3 linked regions of the Elephas maximus indicus genome follow. The protein of the gene in region 3 purifies or fractionates together with the protein of the main gene of each other region. This does not show direct contact. Links are inferred from orthologs where the notes say so. Each region holds a gene or a part of one and is shown on either strand. Other genes may lie near its edges. The genes, in order: RAB24, RAB1B and GDI2.

Region 1 (3,816 bases), on a different chromosome or scaffold from region 3:
AAAAGTGAATTCCTCCAATCAAAGTGGGACAAAAGGGACAGAGGGTCTCCTTCCCAAGTGTATTCAAGGCATACTTATGGCTCGATGGACTCATGTTTGAAAACCCCTGCCTTATTCCCTCAATACCACTCCTGTGGGTTACACCCTGTGTGTGTGCCAGGCACAGTGCTGAGTGCTTTGTATTTAGTACTTGGAACAACTCTGTTAAACAGGTATCCTGCCTGTTTTAAGTCCAGAGAAACTAACCAGCTGAAAAGATAATCTGAGGCTGTACTCTAGAACCATCAAGCTTCAGTAACCCAGACCTGCCTCAAACCACAAGTGCTCCCTAAGGGCTCTCCAGCCACACCCAAGGATTGCTCTACTTGTAGGGGGAGGAGAGCTCACCATCAGCCGGGCGTGGTTAATGTTCCAGGTGAAGGTGGTCATGGTCTGATTCTGTGGGTCCACAATAGAGTCCTCCAGGATGTATACCGAGTGAGCAACATTGGCAGGAAACAGTCGCTCAGCCCAGCGAGGCATCCTGTTGGTCTTGGTCAGGAGTCGCCGGGACAGGAGCTTCTGGTCAGGGGTCACCTCCCGGTGTACTATGTCTTCCGTCAAGACATGTTTGCTGCAGGTGGCAGAGAGAAGGTGATACTTAGAAGCATTCCTCAGGTGTACTGCCTGTTGGGGCTCCCACTTGAAGTGTCCTGGCCCCAACTGGCCATGCCTTCCTGCAATCTCGCAAAGTAATCTGTGCTGTGGCCCAGATCAGAACTGGAGTCCATTGAGCCTATCCTCAGGGCAAATTCCAACTCCCGCCTCCTCGCTGACCTGGATTCCTGGGCCTGTTATCAGGGCTGGACCTTAGGATTTACTGCACCACTAGAGAGAGGACGAGGATAGGAAAAACTCTGGATTTCCAACCCTAAGATCTTGCCCAACTCCTGTGCCACCGCCTCTTCCTGTCTCCCCACCCTACGAGGGCCTTCGAAGAGGGACTCACATAAAACTGCCCAGGCCCCAGTCTCCTCTCTGGACCTTGCAGGCCTGGCCTGGCTGCTTTCCCGATAAGATCCTCGTGCTCTAAACACAGCCACGGTTCAAGGATTTCCCCATCTCAGACTTGGTGTCGAGTTCTTCCCAGCCTCATTTGGGGGTCGCCCACGCTTCGATCTCCAAGCAGCGAGGGGAGGGTTGCTCTTTCCAGAGTCACGTACCTGTAGGGATTCGGGTACCGCTGCCAAAAAGCAGCGAACACTTGGTCCCAGGAACTCCGGAGCACGCTCTGGCCCAGAAAATACTTCACCATCGTCCCGGCCGGGGCGGGCTCAGCACCCGCGCAGCATCAGGGGTGCGGAGCCCGGGGGGCACGCGGAGGCCGGGCCGTGGCTCGGCGCACGCCCGCCAGGCTCGCAGCTCAGTCACCACCACACCGCGCCCAAACCTCCGCCGCCGCCGCCATGAGGAGTGGTCAGGAAGCGCGCCACTTCCGGCGCAGCACCCATCGTTTCCGGCGTCCGCACCACGTGACCTCGGTGTCCTGCCGCCCGCCCCCCCCCAACCTGGCTTTCTAGCCCCCTCCCGCGGGATTCGCGGGTTTCGCGGCGCTGCTGGTCGGACCGGGGTCTTCGCAGAGCCGGGCTCGGCTGGGAGTCCAAGCCTCAGTGGGACCTCAGCGAGGCGGACGAGGGAGTGGGCTGGGCAGCGGCGTGCAGCGCCGTTGAGGGCGCTGCCCCGCGCGCTCTCAGGACGCCCTGGGTCTTGCTCTCTTCGAGTCTCAGTACCCGGGGCCGAAGAGCCGGGACGGGCGGGGGCGCCGTCGAGGTGTGAGGCCGCTGCCGGAGCTCGAGCCCGCCTTGGTGTCTCGAGTCGTAGGTTGGCGCCGGCGGTCGGGGCCGGAGGCTTGGGCACTGCCTCCCGTCCCCGCTCCGGACCTCGACGTGGGTGAGGCGTCCCCGGGAGCATGAGCGGACAGCGCGTGGACGTGAAGGTGGTGATGCTGGGCAAGGAGTACGTGGGCAAGACGAGCCTGGTGGAGCGATACGTGCACGACCGCTTCCTGGTGGGGCCCTATCAGAACGTGAGTGCGCCCCGCGGGGCCGGGCACGAGTGGGAGGGGGCCAGCTCGCACCCGCGGCCCTTATTTCTTTCCCCTCGTTGCAGACCATCGGGGCCGCCTTCGTGGCCAAGGTGATGTCCGTCGGAGACCGGACAGTGACTTTGGGTATTTGGGTAAGTCACCTGGGCAAGATGTCCTGGGGAAACCCATTCCTGAGAGGGCTTAGGTCCTGCCCATCACTGGCTGACTTGGGGGCCCAGAGTTTTTCTTTTCTATAGACCGTAGTTTCTTTATCTGGAAAATGGGGTCCTTGGAGGATGCAGGTGTAGTTTGCAGTTTTGGAAGTAGCTTAGCAACTCAGGCTAGACTGAGCCTCCTCTTGCCCTTCAGGACACAGCAGGCTCTGAGCGCTATGAGGCCATGAGCCGAATCTACTATCGGGGTGCCAAGGCTGCCATCGTGTGCTATGGTAAGGGGCGGGGGTTCTGGCCTGTTCCTCCAGCAGCAGGGGTGGGTGCCAGGATAGCCTCAGCTCCTGACCCTTGATTGTGTCTCCTACGCAACCAACCCACCAAGACCTCACAGACAGCAGCAGCTTTGAGAGAGCAAAGTTCTGGGTGAAGGAATTGCGCAACCTAGAAGAGGTAGGTGGCCACACCTAGCCAGGGGACCAGAGGCTGCCGCTCTAGTGGTCCATGAGGGTGACCCTGACCTTGCTTTTTGCCCCAGGGTTGTCAGATCTATCTGTGTGGCACCAAGAGTGACCTGCTGGAGGAGGATCGGCGGCGGCGACGTGTGGACTTCCATGACGTTCAGGACTATGCAGACAGTATTGCTCCTCAGTCCCCAGGGGTTGGGGGAGGAGAGTGACTGCTTGGCTGCCTCAGCAAGATCCCTAAGGCTCTCTGGGCTCCATGGACTGAGGGGTCCAGATTTCCTCAACTGTTAGCCTTCCCCTTTTGTTCTGTACCCACATTCTCGGGTATGAGGGTTTAGTCACTTTTCTTTACAGATATTAAAGCTCAACTCTTTGAAACATCTAGCAAGACGGGCCAGAGTGTGGGTGAGTGTCGTCCTGGGGCCTCACAGTAGGGCAGGCAGGGGCATCGAAGGAAGCAGAGACGGGCTTAGAGGGCTGGGTCACTGGATGATTCCCTGGCTGCTGGCATTGGGCCCTCACCGATCATCCTTTTTCCTGCCAGACGAGCTCTTCCAGAAAGTGGCAGAGGATTACGTCAGTGTGGCTGCCTTCCAGGTGATGACAGGTGTGTGCTTCCTCAAGCCTCTGTGGAGACTTCCTCTAGACCCTTGGCACCTGATCCCTCCAGCAGAATGGTACTGAGCTGCCATCTCTCTTTGACAGAGGACAAGGGCGTGGACCTGGGCCAGAAGGCAAATCCCTACTTCTACAGCTGTTGTCATCACTGAGTCACCACCCACCTAGCCTGGGGGAATTAAATGAATTCCCACGGGGCTGGACCCAACTTATCTGGGCTTGGGTGGTCAAATGTCTGAGCTACCCCAGGTCCCTGTGGCAGCAGAGGTGGCACCTGTCTGTGCTGGCCCATGGAACGGAGGCAGCATTGGGCTGACTGATGGGAACAAGGAGGGCTGAGGGCTGACTTGGACCCCAGGCTTCTGCCCTGGACAGCACATGTGTCTGCAGATTATTTAAGTGGCTTCTGATTTGTAAATAAAATCAATGCACTGTGAATCACATTCAGCCCCTTTCCCTGCTGTGTGGGTATCAAGACACCTAGCTCTTTCTGGGA
Region 2 (3,600 bases), on a different chromosome or scaffold from region 3:
GCCTTATGCACTGCCCCTCCTGCCCGGCCCCGCCCAGGCAGGCCTGACTCCGCCCCGGGCCCAGCCCACCGAGCCGTTCCGCCACGCCCCTCCCACACCTGCAGCTTCTCGCGAGGGGCTGCCACGGTTGGGAAGTGAGGTGGTCGCTCTTTATTTTCAGATATTGCTGTAGAAATAAAGACGGTTTGAATCTGAGCTGGGCTTGTTTGGGGGGCGAAGATTGAGGGTGGAGAGACGGGTCGGGAGAGGTCGCGTGTGAGTGGCAAGTGTGTGTGTGTGCGTGTTGTTCGCGTCCGGTACCCGGGCCGCTGGGACCCAAATATACTGCTCCTTGCCCGGAATTGTTTGGGGGCCTCAGATTCCGAATCCGGAAGTCTCCCAAGAAGGCAACCTCCATTTCTAGGGTTATAGAGAGCGGGGACTTTGAGCCCTGCCCCTTCTTAAGCTGTTCGACCTTGAACGAATTCTATGAGTCTCGATATTTCTCATCTATAAAATGTGGGTGATGACACTCTCCTCCTGGGGCTGCGCTGTGAGTTACGAGATCCCAGCACACGGAAAACTCTAGATGAATGAACATCATCTTTTGCCGGCACCCACTTTCTCATCTAATGGTCATGACCCTGGGAGCTAGGAGGGTAGGCATGACCGCCTCGGTCAGACGTGGGAAAGGAGAATGACCCTTAACCCTGGCCCTAAACTGAGTTTTCAGCGCTGGGATGCAGGCAAGCTCCCCCAGGCGCCGTCCTAAATCCCACGTACGTCTAGGGAGCGAACTACAAGCCCCAGAAGGCAGTGCGCCGGCGGTGCAGGGAGCGGGCTGGGAGGTGAGGGCCCTCCGTTTTACGCCTGTCGTACAATGTGGAAAACTACAAGTTCCAAGAAGCAGCGCGGCGAGGCCCCACTTGGGCGTATTTGCGCCTGCGCTCCGCGGGCGGGGCCTCTGGGGCGGAGCGGCCACCATCTTGGAACGGGAGGCGGAGCAGAGCCGACTGGGAGCGACCGAGCGGGCCGCCGCTGCCGCCATGAACCCCGAATAGTGAGTGAGCCCCGCCCGCGCCGTCCGGCGCAGCCTCGATTCCGAGTACGGGGCTGTACGCTTACCGGGGTTGTCCTGCCCGGGTCAGGACTGCGCGGCGCCCCCACATCCGGGTCTCTCTTCCGCTGACCCCCCCCCCTCACATCCGGGTTCTGCCCCTCCCCCCGGGTGCCCCCGAACCCCGGCTCGACACCCCCCGAGTCATTGCACCCAGCGCCCAAAGACGGCGACCCCGAGGGGCACTGCTTGGGGCCCGAGGCATGTGCTCTACCGGGCCTTAACGGTCAGGTGACCCCGCAGCCCCGATCTCTCCTGGCCTCAGTTTCCCCACCTGCGGCTTGAACGTGGCAGCGGCCTTGGTGCAGACAACGGTCTCAGCGTTTTGGGGCCTGTCACGATAGTCTCTGGTCTTGGTATAAACTCGAGCCCTTACGTTGGGCCTTAAGTCCCTCTGCCCTGCAGATCCAACAACACCGGAGGCCCCGAGGCAGCGCTCCGGGGGGGTTGTCACCTGGCCCCTCGCTTGGGCCGCACTGCCCTGCCGCCCCCGGCAGTCATTCTGTCCTGCCCTCCTCACCTTTGCACAGGCACCCTGCCGCCGTCGGCACACCTCTTCCCTTCGCTGTAACACTGAAGTTTACAGAAATGTGGCAGTTGCTTCCCCGCTTCGGTGGGATTCTTTGCTCCACGAACTCTCCTCACTTCTTGGTCACTCCCCCTAGGGGTAGCTGGGGTAGGTGGCCCACATCTCCTGGCCAGGACTTCGCACTGATAGTTTCCCCGGAGTATCAGTTATCATTGTCTTCCTCTTCTGCCACTTCCTTTTCTTCCTCCCGATCCAGGCCACAGGTTTCCGTGGGGCAGGGTGAAGCTCTGAGCTGGATTACAAGGGGGAACAGAGAAGCAAACCAGCAGGCTGGCAAAGAGACTTTGGAGTCTGACAGACCTGGTTCTAGTAGTATAGTTAACAGCTGTGTGACCTGGGGCAAGACTGCCCTTCTCCAGCTCTGGGTTTCTCCTTAGATGGCAATAACAGCACCCACTTCACTGGACTGACGTGAGGATTTGATGACATGGTGCATTTGAAGCTCTTAGCACAGGACCAGGCAAAGTAGGAACTCAGTGACTGTTAACTGCTGTTGCCATTGCTACTTGTTGGCCACTTCTGCTTGGTGGCTTCATACCAGGCTCTTTACGTAGGTAGTTATTTAGTGGGTTCTGGTCTGGGCTCTGGCTTCCACTTCTGCGGCCTCGCCTGCCAAGGCAGGCACACCACAGGGCATGCAGTGGGGTTCTCTAAGTAATCCCAATCAGACAGAACAATGAAATTTGTCAGGAATGAGTAGGATACCCAACTCTGTCGCTACTGATTGTGATCCTTGGCAAGTCAGGTCCCTCTCTGTGCCTTGGATTCCTTCTCTGTAAATTGGGATTTAGCCTCAGCACACTGAGAGCCTTTTGGGGTAGCTATATTATGTGGGGGACTAGAAGGAGGGTTGGGTGAGCGTCGTCGTCTTACAAACCAAGGCACACCCCCCAGTAAGGTTACAGTTGTGACTCCAGTATGTTGGTGGGTGGGCTCCCTGCCATCCTTCATGCCTTCCCATCCTCTCTCTCCAGTGACTACCTGTTTAAGCTGCTTTTGATTGGTGACTCGGGCGTGGGCAAGTCCTGCCTGCTCCTGCGGTTTGCTGTGAGTAAGAAGTCTCCTGTACCGTCCATCTGGGGTCCTGGCTGGCTGGCCAGGGGGAAGAAGGGATACCCTAGAACACAGCAGTTATGAGACCTGGGGGACCAAGGATGAAGTTGCAGGACCTGCTGGCAACACATCCAACAGGAAGGCGGCAGGGCTGGCAAAGTGGGGTGCTGAGAGCTGGGGCTTGGCAGTTAGGAGCTCAGCTGGGCAGGGAGCTGGAGGGAGGTTTTCCAGATGGGCCTCAGACCCGTTCACTGGCCCTTTCAGGATGACACATACACAGAGAGCTACATCAGCACCATTGGGGTGGACTTCAAGATCCGAACTATTGAGCTGGATGGCAAAACCATCAAACTTCAGATCGTGAGTGGTGTTCTTCCCATAGCCGCCATGTAGAGGCACTACTCTGGGAGGGGCATGGGGCTCTGGGTATGGAGTGAGGCTGACCCTGTCTCTCCTCCCCTCCTGTCATGAAGTGGGACACAGCCGGTCAGGAACGGTTCCGGACCATCACCTCCAGCTACTATCGGGGAGCCCATGGCATCATCGTGGTGTACGACGTCACCGACCAGGTACTGGCTTTGCCATCCCCAGCCTTGCCTCCTCGACCTTAGGTCTCTGGCCCTTGCTTCTTTTTACTTTGCTTGTCTTCTCTTCCTGATGCTCCTCAGAAAGGGGACTATACTTGATTCATTTCACAAGGAGAGAAACAGCCACAGAAATGGACCCTCTCAAGGTCCTCCCACCTGAGCTTGCCACCTCATTCTAGACCTTCTGGGCACTTGTGCTTTCTGGAGGTTTAGTCAGCAGGTTGGCCTCCTGTGTGGAGCCTGTGGCCTTTTGTGTGGAACACACTGTGGGGGAG
Region 3 (3,816 bases):
CCTCCTCCAAAAAAATTCTATTGTCATACCCTCTTAAACTGGTTTTATGGGGTAAAGAAACAATGTAAAAGTTGTTAAATTCTTTCCTGTATCTGAATGATTTAAACATGGAGTTCTGCCTACCAGGATTCGCTTTGAACAGTTATTATCTAGCTCTATTTGAGGCAAGTCTTGAAGGAAATACCAAATCTTTATTGGCTGTTAAGAATACAAATCTATGGCAGGCTGAAACAGTTTTAAGTGTCAACACCTTTAAGGAAATCACTTGTCTAGAAGGCCTCTTCTTTAGTAAACCTCAGGGTTTACTCCCCTTGGGTTAAAAGAACACAAGCCTCTGCTTATGCTTCTCCACACAGAAAGCCAGAGATTCCAAAAAAAAAAAAAAAAGAAGAAGAGGGGCGGAGAAATGGAGGGCAAACGAATAGTTTCCTCTATGCTTATGGCCTGAGCACTTTTATACACTGGTCAGGCACTATTTTTATACCTGGCTTAAGTTTTAGCTCTCAGTAGGTGCAGATGTGCTTCCAAATCAAATCTGGCCTTCCCCATTATTTATGCTAAGGGTTATTTTTTCTTAAGAGGCTTTTTTTTTTTTGCCCTTCTCCCACATTTCCTAAGGTCACACATGGGTATGATCAACGCACCAAAAGCAAGAATGACATAGGACAGGGGAAAAAAAAAAGGAATTTCCGAACTCTTTCCTTTTTGTCCCAGAACAAAGGAGGCAGGACAGAAACAAAACAAAGTTACAATTAGTAAAAATAAGGGCAACTGCAGGTAGTGCTCAAGCATCCGGAGGCTGGTTGCCTGGACGCCTGGAACACACGCCCAGTTGCAGCTCTAAAGTCCCACCAGCCCATCCCGTCCGGAGGCAAAAGCGAGTGTCACGCCACATTACGTAACCTCCTCAGTCAGCAATCCCAAGCCACGCACGAAGAGCTGCAAATCCGCGAGACACGAGAGTAGGGTCTGCGGGACTGGGAAACAGGCCTTCCCCAGTCCGCATTCCTCTCACAAGCAGCAAACTGAGCGCCTGCAGTTTTCCAGACACTCGCGGCAGAGTCAACACTCCCCGCCACGTCCCACGTGGCCGCTACAAGCACAAGACAGCGCGCACAGCTCAAAGTCCAAAGGTGGCATGCGGCCTTTGGAGGCGACTGAGCTCCCACAGATGTTGCAGTAGTTAGTTGACAGTCACTGTCTAGCTTCTGGCCATACTTCCTTCCCACTTAATCGCTAGAGCCGAACCACCGCCTCCGCCCCTCAACCACCGTGGCAGAGGACTCGGTGGGTAACCGGAATCTAAGCTGTTTACGCCCAACCTCTTCTCGCGTGAAGTCTGAGAGGAAGATGATTGGGCGAGTGATGGGGAAGTAGCCAATGAGAGAGAAGGAGGAGCGTGATCGCTGGTCCGCCGTTGCACCTCCCCCTAAGTCCCGCCCCCCAGGCTGCGGAGGGCTCCTGTTGCCCGCCCCGCCTCTCTCCCCCCTCCCTTCCCGTCCTTCTCTTCCCCCTCCCTTCCCGGCTCTTCTCTTCCCGTCTGAGGTGGCGCGCAGGTTCGCCTTCTTCTCAGCTCCATTTTACCTCTCCGGTCTTCCTTTTTCTCTTGGGCTCCGAAATCGGCCTGAGCTCTTACACCGCCGCCTTAGGGTTGATATATAACCCCCTTGGCTGTCTAGAATCCCTGCGCTTTCTCCTTGATCTTGTCTTCCATCCTCTCCCTGTCCCCGCCATGAATGAGGAGTACGACGTGATCGTGCTGGGCACCGGCCTGACGGTGAGTTCTAGGCAGCGACCGCGGCCGAGGAGCCCCGGAGCATGTGGCCCGGACGCGGGGCTAGGGGGCGGGGGAGCCGACCCCAGCCCAGGCCAGAGCTGTCCGGGGAAGTCAATGCGGCCGGGACAGGGGCGGCTGCGGCCGCGGGTGCTCCGGCCCGCACAGCTCCTTGTCTTGCCGGCAGGTTTTGCAGTCTCCTTCCCCAGGTCCCCCGCTAGTTTACCGCACTGTCTTCCTTTTCCTCCGACTTGTGGATGTGTAAGGTGTGGGCTCACCTTTGGACGTGGACACGAAGAGTCGGCCTGTCTGTGTTTCTGTTCCTGAATCCCCGGTTTGCAGGCATCTGGGCATTGCCTTGAGAGGGCGAGCCGGCCTGCGGTTTTGCATCTCTTTTCGTTAATACTTTGTCGTCTTTTTTTTTTTTTTTCTCGAAGAAGAAGAGGTGGTTCTCAAGGTTGTCGGTAAAGAGAATTTTCGCTGGTTGGAATGGGTGAGTTCTGAAGGAGTTTCAGCCTGCGGCAGAATCTAGCGCTCTCGTAACCTCATGGCAGTTTGTGTCGGTTGCAGGTTGGAATAGATTGTTTAATGTGGAAGGAAAGAACCAGGAAATTGAAAACCCAGAGCTTTAGTCGTGAAGCCGGTCAAGCAGATGATGAATACTGATGGCGAAATAAAAATAGGTGGAAAAAAGAGAGTTTCATTCTCCCACAGAGTTTAAAAAAAAAAAAAAGCCTGGTTTGGGGTATTGATGCTCCTCCACCTCCCTTTTTGGTTTGATGACTCTTCGGATAGGAAACGGAAAAGCACAAGGCAGAGTGGGGGAGGGTGGAGGACACTTGTATTTCCTATTTAGTCGTCAACCACTAGCCAGTCTTTGGCTGCCAAAGCTAGGCAAAGATTTTGCGACAAGTCATTGGAGAATCACTGTTCGGTAATTGTTACAGCTTAATTAGTTTTCCTTTTTAGAGAAAATGAACAATTAGTTTCTTATTCTCCCAGCCTCAAATAAGAAACATTATCGATTCTTTTTAGCCACCTTCCCCACTCCACTTATTGAGCATTTGTAGAATGGAAGTGAGTTTTGTCTTAAAACTTGCCTGTCAAATGCTTTTGCACCTGACCTTTGTCATCTTTTCCTTTTGTTTGGTTTGTCCCCTGTCTCCATTGTCTGTTCTACATGCTTTCCGCTAAGAAATGGATTGGTGATGGATTGGTAGAGGCCAAGTTCTCTCTCTACTACTGTATTCTCTTTAGGGATTTAGACGGTAAATCAGTAACAACATAATTACGTATTACTACATACAATAGCAGTACGAATGCGAGCTGTTCCTAATACCATGGTATCTTTATTTTCCTGGGCATCTGTCTGCTTAGAGACCTTTGGATAATATTCTGGAAATAACGCAGGCAGGTGTTGTATTTTGTACTTCTTTGTCTTCATACTTTTTTTTTTTTTTGGAAAAAAAAATCCATTTGAAGAGAGGACCAGTTTGTCAAATTTCTTTGGAAATTTGGAGTTCTGTCTTTGGACTACTTCTGTCTTAATAAGGTGAACATTGATGAAAATCTTCCGTATCTTATGAATCTGACCTCAAATTCCTGAGTCATTTAATGCAAACCACCACTTCAAATGAGCTGAAATGCTTTGTAATCTCTCAAGATCAAATTAATTTTTTCAGATAACATTAAAATAGCTATTTTAGGTTTCTCTAGACACGAAAAAAAAATCTTTGAACTTTTACTTGGCTAATTTTTTAGGAAACGGCTGTTAAGAATTAGAATAGCTTTTTATTCTGGTAAAATGATTTTTTAATTATTAAAATCACTGACACATCATTTTTGTGTTTATAATGATTTATGGTGATTTTTTTCTGAATGTTTCTGAATGTTTGAACAGTCTGGAAATACACATGTGACTGGCTAGGAAATAGTTCCAAATAGATGAGATCACTTATCTAGAAAGCCATTTAACTATTTTGAATGTGAGGGATTCAGTCTAATTTCTTTTTTGGTGGTGAGCTGGAACACTGTTGGATCCT

Evidence for each region.
Region 1: the proteins of GDI2 (region 3) and RAB24 purify together in Homo sapiens (affinity purification with mass spectrometry; 3 studies listed by BioGRID and IntAct, with this or other methods). This does not show direct contact. The link is inferred for Elephas maximus indicus from reciprocal best matches to the Homo sapiens genes GDI2 and RAB24.
Region 2: the proteins of GDI2 (region 3) and RAB1B purify together in Homo sapiens (affinity purification with mass spectrometry; 3 studies listed by BioGRID and IntAct, counting the BioPlex papers as one, with this or other methods). This does not show direct contact. The link is inferred for Elephas maximus indicus from reciprocal best matches to the Homo sapiens genes GDI2 and RAB1B.

What each region holds. Positions count from the first base shown.
Region 1 is NC_064820.1:197,637,523-197,641,338, reverse strand, and holds RAB24 (ras-related protein Rab-24), read left to right. Parts: upstream 1-1,461; 5' UTR 1,462-1,948; coding exon 1,949-2,065; intron 2,066-2,148; coding exon 2,149-2,217; intron 2,218-2,434; coding exon 2,435-2,513; intron 2,514-2,620; coding exon 2,621-2,688; intron 2,689-2,773; coding exon 2,774-2,873; intron 2,874-3,056; coding exon 3,057-3,107; intron 3,108-3,246; coding exon 3,247-3,309; intron 3,310-3,407; coding exon 3,408-3,472; 3' UTR 3,473-3,782; downstream 3,783-3,816. Other genes in the region: PRELID1 (PRELI domain-containing protein 1, mitochondrial), read right to left, coding at 388-613, 1,203-1,294.
Region 2 is NC_064825.1:129,422,396-129,425,995, forward strand, and holds the start of RAB1B (ras-related protein Rab-1B), read left to right. Parts: upstream 1-929; 5' UTR 930-1,025; coding exon 1,026-1,039; intron 1,040-2,659; coding exon 2,660-2,732; intron 2,733-3,002; coding exon 3,003-3,098; intron 3,099-3,211; coding exon 3,212-3,307; intron 3,308-3,600. UniProt on the Homo sapiens protein: The small GTPases Rab are key regulators of intracellular membrane trafficking, from the formation of transport vesicles to their fusion with membranes.
Region 3 is NC_064822.1:53,077,118-53,080,933, forward strand, and holds the start of GDI2 (rab GDP dissociation inhibitor beta), read left to right. Parts: upstream 1-1,495; 5' UTR 1,496-1,732; coding exon 1,733-1,777; intron 1,778-3,816. UniProt on the Homo sapiens protein: GDP-dissociation inhibitor preventing the GDP to GTP exchange of most Rab proteins. By keeping these small GTPases in their inactive GDP-bound form regulates intracellular membrane trafficking.